2 linked regions of the Macaca fascicularis genome follow. The protein of the gene in region 2 interacts with the protein of the main gene of each other region in a biochemical or structural test. Links are inferred from orthologs where the notes say so. Each region holds a gene or a part of one and is shown on either strand. Other genes may lie near its edges. The genes, in order: TNFSF8 and TNFRSF8.

Evidence for each region.
Region 1: the proteins of TNFRSF8 (region 2) and TNFSF8 form a complex in vitro, tested with the Homo sapiens proteins (2 studies listed by BioGRID and IntAct). The link is inferred for Macaca fascicularis from reciprocal best matches to the Homo sapiens genes TNFRSF8 and TNFSF8.

Annotation. Positions count from the first base shown.
Region 1 is NC_088389.1:43,181,645-43,185,458, reverse strand, and holds part of TNFSF8 (tumor necrosis factor ligand superfamily member 8), read right to left. Parts: intron 2,803-3,814; coding exon 2,408-2,802; 3' UTR 1-2,407.
Region 2 is NC_088375.1:222,667,834-222,671,647, forward strand, and holds part of TNFRSF8 (tumor necrosis factor receptor superfamily member 8), read right to left. Parts: intron 2,881-3,814; coding exon 2,779-2,880; intron 2,649-2,778; coding exon 2,595-2,648; intron 1-2,594. UniProt on the Homo sapiens protein: Receptor for TNFSF8/CD30L. May play a role in the regulation of cellular growth and transformation of activated lymphoblasts. Regulates gene expression through activation of NF-kappa-B.

The sequences.
Region 1 (3,814 bases), on a different chromosome or scaffold from region 2:
CTCGAGTTAGAATGTGAGATGGCAGAAAATTTGCTTCGTTAACACACAGTTGGGTTGCATATACCTTTTCAAGAATGCATGAGTTGTTTAAGCAAGATTCACTTGTCCTACGCAGTTAGTGTGTAACTCAAATGCCAGCCGTTTCCCTGTTTTTCTTAGCTTTGAGTCTCAATGTCTGTTTTTTACCACAGACCACTTGGCTTGCTGAATTCAACACCTCTTCCAATGCCTGCTTCTCCCAAAGAATCTACTCACAGAAAGAGTTAAAGAGAAATGTAGACTTTACTGAATATTTCAAAGAGGAGACCTAGGAGGAGGTTGACATAGCACACTGCTCAGCAGATGACTTAAATTTTTCCCTTAGCCATTTTTGTTCTCTCAAGTCCCTCTCATCCATAACACCGCTGCTGATTTGTTCTTTCTTTCTTTCTTGTAAATCTTTTCTAGCTTTTCTTCTGACAAACTTTGCTGGAGTCCTACTCCTTTTCTCTCCTTCTTGAGAAAAATGCGAATTTTGCTCCATGTTTTAGTATAGCAGGGAAGCTTCCATCTTTTTTTTACTGAAGCATAACCTCAGGGCCTACATTCCATCTCAAACGGCTTGTCAAGGTCCTTCCATGAATAAGATGTTCCTCCAAAGATGATGTACAGATGCCAAGTTGGATATAGCTGGAGAAATCTCATGGCTACCCCAATCAGGAGAGAGGTTGCTGTTTCTCAGAAGTCCTCCTCCCCAATTCCAGGGTCATCATTATCTGTCAACAACTTTGTGGGGATTTAAAAACCCTCACGGAACTGGTTTTCTGAGAGGTGTTTGAAGCAGGAATATAATCTGCAGGAGATGCAGCAGCCATTCCCCGGCTGTTGCACACTGATTGTTTGCTAAAGGCACAACGCTATCCTGACCAGAAATGAAAAATGCCTGCTGCTCAATTATTGTCAGCCTAACTGGAATAGAGTCAGGCCTCGTCAGATGGTTTCCCAAACACCCAGATGGTCTCTTAGATTCTGGATGGTCAGCATGGTAGTTCTTTCCATTACATCCTTGAGATCCTGCTGTTGACACCATTCAGCAGGGCACCCTGAACTTTGTTCCCATATTCTGGCTTTGCTGAGATGAGATGCAGTCAGGTGCTACTAGTGTCTTCAATTGTATACTGGGGTAGGGTGGCCTTATCTTGGTTGAAGAGCTTCCAAAATTGTGTCAGAATCTCAGTTCCCAGGGGCTGCTCTTCTGAGATGGAAGAGGTTTTGAAGCAATTCAAACCCATTCCTTTCATTTTCTAGACTTGGATCCTGAGTTCCAGGGAGGGGAAGGTATAGTGAATTCTTATAATTTTTGTTGCCTTGGCAACCATTTTGTATACAAGTTTAATTTTCTCATACCAGAAGCTGGGCTTAGTCACCCTTGATATGGGTTTCCAGTTCTATACCAGACCTCTAGCCAAGACAAGAACTAGAGGCATCTCTCCTCCCTAGCAGACTGGATTCCCCACTTTTCTGTTACTTCCTTCAGACCATTCAGGCATTTGCCAGTGAATTGAGAGTGACCACACCCTATTTATTTACCTACATTGGTAACTCCCTTGCTCTCTCTCTCTGACTTCTCATTCCTGTCTCATGTAACCCAGAGAAGGAGGACTGCCCTTCAGACTCATTATGCCCTTTCTGTCCAGGATCTGTAAGTAAAAGTCTTCAAACTTGTTTTCCATTGTGATGGTGTATTAAATTTGTGCTTTCCATCTCAGGAATGGGGGGCTGTCCCAGGCCTGGTTTTCCCTGGGGGTTCCTAGGGGCAGGGTCATGTGGAGCACAAGGTCAGCTTCCCAGTCCCAAAGTGATAGTCAGATAGGCATAAACTGGGCATGGTTCAGTCACAAGGGTATCTGCCAGTATAGGGAAGTTTCCTGTGTGAAAGAGTCCTTGATCGCAACGTGGACAACTAAGCATTAGGCCATCTGCAGATAAAAGAAGTATCCCATGAAGGGCACAGTGTAAACACTCACACCCAGCTCCCCTTCATTTCCCATTAGGGCAGAGTTGCTAGCTGCTCTGATACTGGAGCCCCATTTTATCTGGAGGCTCTCAAAACAGAAGAAATAGATCAAGACCATACAGTGAATTAGTGGTTGGGCTGGGACATCCATTCATCCCTTCTGATTCCCATGTGGGGCTCTGCCCACCACACTACATTGCTTCCCTGCCTGCTATCTGAAAGATACTTCACTCAGAACTCTCTTTTTAACCCTGGAGCTATATCTTTCCAAGAGACAGAAGGCAAGGTATACTATTTAATACCCTGTGCAGTTTGTCTTGGTCTAAAGTTTTCTTTTTGCCCAAGTGTTTGGAGGGATGAAATACTGTATGGTAGAGAGGCGCTTTCTTCCTGAAGGCCAAGAGAAACTGTTCAGTCTGAATTACTGTATAAGAACACGGACAACACATTCTCAAGAGGAAAAGTGCTTGTATCTATGTACTGGAATGTATCCACATTGACTGATACGGTGGTGTTGACCTGCAGGTAATCCAGCAAGAATTGAGAGAGATTCTGGTACACGTGTTTGGTTTGCATTCCAGACTCACACACTGTCACCAGGGCCTGTTTTTTGATATGCTTGTTGATGAGAAGCTCCAACTTCAGATCGACAGAATTATTTGGGCATTGTACGAGAAACTGCAGTTGGCAAATGATGAAGTACAAACCAGGGAACTGGATCACCAGATTCCCATCCTGATATCTGACTCCATGGAGAATGCCATCTTTGTTCCAAGACAATTTGGTTTTGTTTAGATGCTTTGCCACTAGAAAGAGAAGTACAGAAAACAGAATTATTGAGAAGATTGTAGGTATGCATTGCAAAACTCTAAGTCTTTATTCAAAGTTTCCCATTCAAGACCCATGTTTTCTGTAATGTTCCAATCATCTGAATATCTTCCATGTTACTCCCTCTAGAGTCTACTTACTACTCAAGGCACAGGTATAAAACCACCCCACTTCCTTTTCTTCAACACTCAAAGCTGGAGGGTCAGAACACACATGATACTTTACTTCTACCTCCTATAGAATGGTTTTCCATGGAATCATTATCATATTATACTATTCTATGATGATGATGATGATCTTTCCCTTTTCAGAATATAAGCTCCTGGACTCTGTTCTCCACAAAGTCGGAACTATCCTGTTCATTTATCATGAATGGGCATTGCAGAAGGTATCAGAGATAGGAAATTCAATAATATTGAGTTTGATAGGCATTGTAGAAAGTGCAAGGTAAGACATTCAATAATATGATTCAGTTAATAACTAATTTAGGTATGAAGATTTCCAGGAGAATCGCCATGAATTTTCACATTAAGATGTATCCTCTAATGGTTCATTGTCTGAATTTTTGAATGCCTTCTTTCCTTCAAAGAGCAGCCAAAAATAATCGTGTAGGTCCCCCATGTGCCTATTAAGGGGCTCTTGCCATCTGGGATTTATTGAAAAGCAGAGAATTAGCAGACCCTCTAAACTGACAAGTTTGTGTTGGAGGGTGAGTCTCCAAGTCCTAACACATGAAAATTAGCACTGACTGGTAAGGGTGACTTTCAGGGCCGGGAAGCTGGCATGCTAGTTTTAATTGCTTCCATGCTTTCCCTTTAAACCTTGTTGCAATTCAACCGAAGAGTGAGAACTAATCTAACTACAAAATTGAATTTTTAAAATGAGCAGGATGGCTATTCAGAGAATCTTGGCCATCTCTCTCTCATCTTGCAGTCTAAAGTGCCTCTTATTGCTTCATTTGTAAGGGATCTCTTACCTGAAGCACACTGC
Region 2 (3,814 bases):
GACTCTGTCTCAAAAAAAAAAAAAAAGAAAAGAATTTTAGACCGGTGGTTCTCAACCAGGAGTAGTTTCTCCCCGGGGGCCACGTGGCAATGTCTAGAGACATTTTTGGTCGTCCCAAGTAGGGGGTGTTGCTGGCATCTAGAGGGGCTGCAGAATGTCCTACAGGATAGCGCTCTGCAGCAAAGAATGATCCATTCCCAAATGTCAATGGTGCCAAGGGTGAAAAATTGTTTTACAAATATCTCAACAACCACAATAAAATCCCCGTCCTCCTGCTCACCCAGCGTGTGGCCTTAAATTACTTCATCATCCTGTGCCTCAGGCTGCTAATCTGTGCAACGGGGATAACAGTAGGTACCTCACAGGCCACTGGAGGAGTAGATGAGATCACGTGTGCGCTCTGCAAATGCCTGTCACCGAGGACACACGCGGGAAGGTCAGATCAACTCGAGGGCTGGTTGGCAAGTATCTCATCGCACCTGCACGCACCACAGATCCCTGATGCGCTCACTGCTCAAAGGAACCAGGAGCACCCTCTGCCCCAGGTCTGGGATGTGGGAGGCCAAGGGGCACACGCTCCCATCCTGCCTGCCTTTGGCCTCTGCAGGCAGTTGGAATTAGTCTAAAAGCTTGGAGGGAGCTAGGACAGCTTCTGGGCCCGGCACAGAGCCTGCACGGAGGAAGTGCACAGTGAAGACCATGTGAATAGATGAACGAATGAACCAATGAACCAGTTCTCCTTCCCTCCTTCGCCACCCACGGCTCGGGAGGGAAATGGGCATACAGCCAGCTCGGTCCGTTCTCACCCTGTGCCCTGTGAGCTTGCCTGTCTCGGCTTCACTTTCTGTCCATCTTGGGCCTGGGAACCCAGACCCCAAGGGCCCACCAGAAGAAGCCAGAGGGTCAAAAATGAGATAGGACGTCCACCATCGAGTCTCGGGGCTCAGTTCTTTGCAGATCTGGCTTCTTAGGGGAAGGTGTTTTCTTTCTTTTTTTCTTCTTGTAACAAAACTGCTCTCACAGAGGTTTGAAGAAAAAAAATAAACTGACGGCAATGGAAATTCTAATACTAGAAAAATGTCAAGAAAGCAAATGCCGGTTTCAATGAGACACGCAGCCTGACAGGTCATGGAAACAGGCTTGAAACTATCAAAACACAAAAACCCCCCCTGGCACAGGGACCACAAGCGCTCGCTTGTGAAACTCATCAAATTCAAAACATGCCTCAGTGGACTGTGTTTTTGTGCCCAAGTCAAGAGTCAGCCTACGCAAGGGCCTCTCCAAGGGTCCTGGGGAGATCGGGGGACGGGCCAGGACCTGGTCTTACGCTGAGCACGTGGCTCTTGGGTGGGCATTCGGGTGGTGGACAGAGCTGGCGGGGGGAAGGAAGAGGGGACAGGGCTGAGCCCTTTACAAACCAAAACCCCTAGGACCGGTGCCTGAGGCTGGCTGTGCCACTGCCAGGCTGTGTAGCCCTGGGCCAGCCGTCCACCTCGCTGAGCCCCGTCTCCTCCTTGCAGAACAAAGGTCATCACTGGGGGAGTGCAGGAGGCCTCTATGGGAGCCCACCTTGCAAATCAGAAAGGAAGGCTCAGACAATTCCCCCATCAGAGCCCAGCACTCAATCCATGCCATGCGGTGCTGAGGAAGACCCTGGCCTGCCTGGAAGGGGCTGCCCAGGAGAGAGAAGGTGCTCGGCACAAGATGGCTAGGAGCCCACTGCTCCAGGTGAGAGCTGGAAGACACATGCTGTCTAGATGCCCCCGCCTGGACAGGTGAGGAGGGTCCCAGCTCCCAAGGGCTGCCTGGAAGAGCTGGCCCGGAGGCTGGGCAGGGATCAGAGTGCAGGGACCAGGGAGGGGGGTCAGAAGCACCCAGGACTCCAGAAGGCCTGAAGCTTCCAGGGAGGAAAAAGCCCCAGACACAGGCCGGCCTGTCAACAGGCAGCAGCCGCCGACCGCAGGCAGGTACTCCACGATGCGCTTCACAGCCCGGCCTTGATGAATGCACAGGCCAAACCTCTGAAGTAGGTTCTACCATCACATTTTCCAGATGAGGAAACTGAGACACAGAGCAATTCAGTAACTCACGCGGGGTCACACAGCTTGTAAGTGGCAGAACCAGGGTCCCTCCTGCCACATGTGCTCCTTTCCCCTCCTGCCCCTGGGCTGATCACCAGCTGGTAGAAGAGGGGGAGAGAGGGGAAAGAGAAAGGGAAGGAGGGAGAGGGAGAAAGGGAGGGTAGAATGTAGAGAGGAAGGGAAGGCTGGCGGGAATACCCCCTGGGGATACTGGAGGAAAAAGTGAAAGACAAGATAGACTTTTAAACGTTCATGCCAGCATCCATCCAGGTGCTGCTCTGGGCAAGCCACGCAGTCCTCACACCCAGTCCAGTCTTCACCTCATTGCATTCTCCACACGCATGAGTTTCACCCGCATTACATCCCTACAGATGTACAGAATGCCACAGCAGCCACAGACAGGGAGCCTCGAGGCTGGGCTAGAAGTTCAGTCTCTGGAGCCCACGCCCCGGGCCTAGAGCTGCCCTGTGTTCCTCTGGCTCGGGCAGCCCCTTTGGACAGCTGGACACTCACCCACAAGCTCTAGCTTGGGCCGCGAGGTCTGGACCGGGTAGCACAGGTGGAGCTCTGAAACGACACCAAGAGGAAGGCTGGGGATGGTGGCCACAGAGGGCAGGAGCAGGCAGGGAAAGGACCCAGGCCAGGCTGGCAGAGAGCAACCTGTCCTCCCCAAGGCCCCAAGGACACAGCCACTTACTCTGGCGAATTCGCTTCCTGCAGGCCCTCCGGTGGCACAGGAGGAAGGTGCTGGAGCCGACCACCACAGCCAGCACCAGGATCACCCAGAAGAGCACTGGCCCTGGAACACAGAGGCACCCCGCACTCTTTGCCTCACTGCAACCACACAGGACAGCCCCAGCCCCAGACTACTTCCTCCTTCTCCTGGGACACAGCTTCCATCATGGCTAACAACACCGCGTCCTTTCCAAGCCAAGGCTGTATCTCATCCAGCCCTCCCTCACCTGGCTCCAGGAAGCTGATTAACTATTTAAGGCTGAGATAAGGGCAAACTGTGTCTAGAGGGTGAGAAATGGAGGCGTCTAGGAGCCAGAACAAAGGAATTGAGGTCCAACAGACCAAAACTTGGGGACTGTGGAGGAGGCCCCGGTGTGACCAGCATCTGGCAGCACTGTTGGTGTGGCCGGAGTCAGGGTGGGGAGGGCCAAGCAGTGAGGGGAAGGAAGGGGTTGAACCCAGTCCCCTCCCAGCCAACCCTCTAGACCCACTTGATGAGGGCAGGCATGGAGTCCTCTCTGCACATAAACACGCCCCACAAGCATTCCCTGAATGAATGATCCCCAACCCTAGGCCCTAGGCACCATCACTACCTTCAGTTTAAAAATGAGGGGAGCCAAGGCTCACGAAAGTTCGTTAACCTGTCCAAGGTCACCCTGAGAGTAAGTGGTAGAGCCCCAGCCCAGGCCATGCCAGGCCGGGTGGACTCCAGGACCCACGCTCTTAACCCCTATCTGGATCCACTTCTTTACACCATGGTACTGAACTCGCTTCCTTTTCCCCTTTTGTCCCTTACAGAGGTCATAGAGCTAGTGATTGCACTTTATTGAAGTCCATGTTCAGATGTTAAAAAAGTAGTATATGCCAGTTAAGTGCTTCTCAAATGTTAATGTGCGTATGAGTGCCCCGGAGATCTTGTTAAAGTGCAGTTTCTGATTCTCTAGGTCTGGGATGGAACCCACAATTTGCTTTCCTAACAAGTTCCCAGCTGGTGCCAA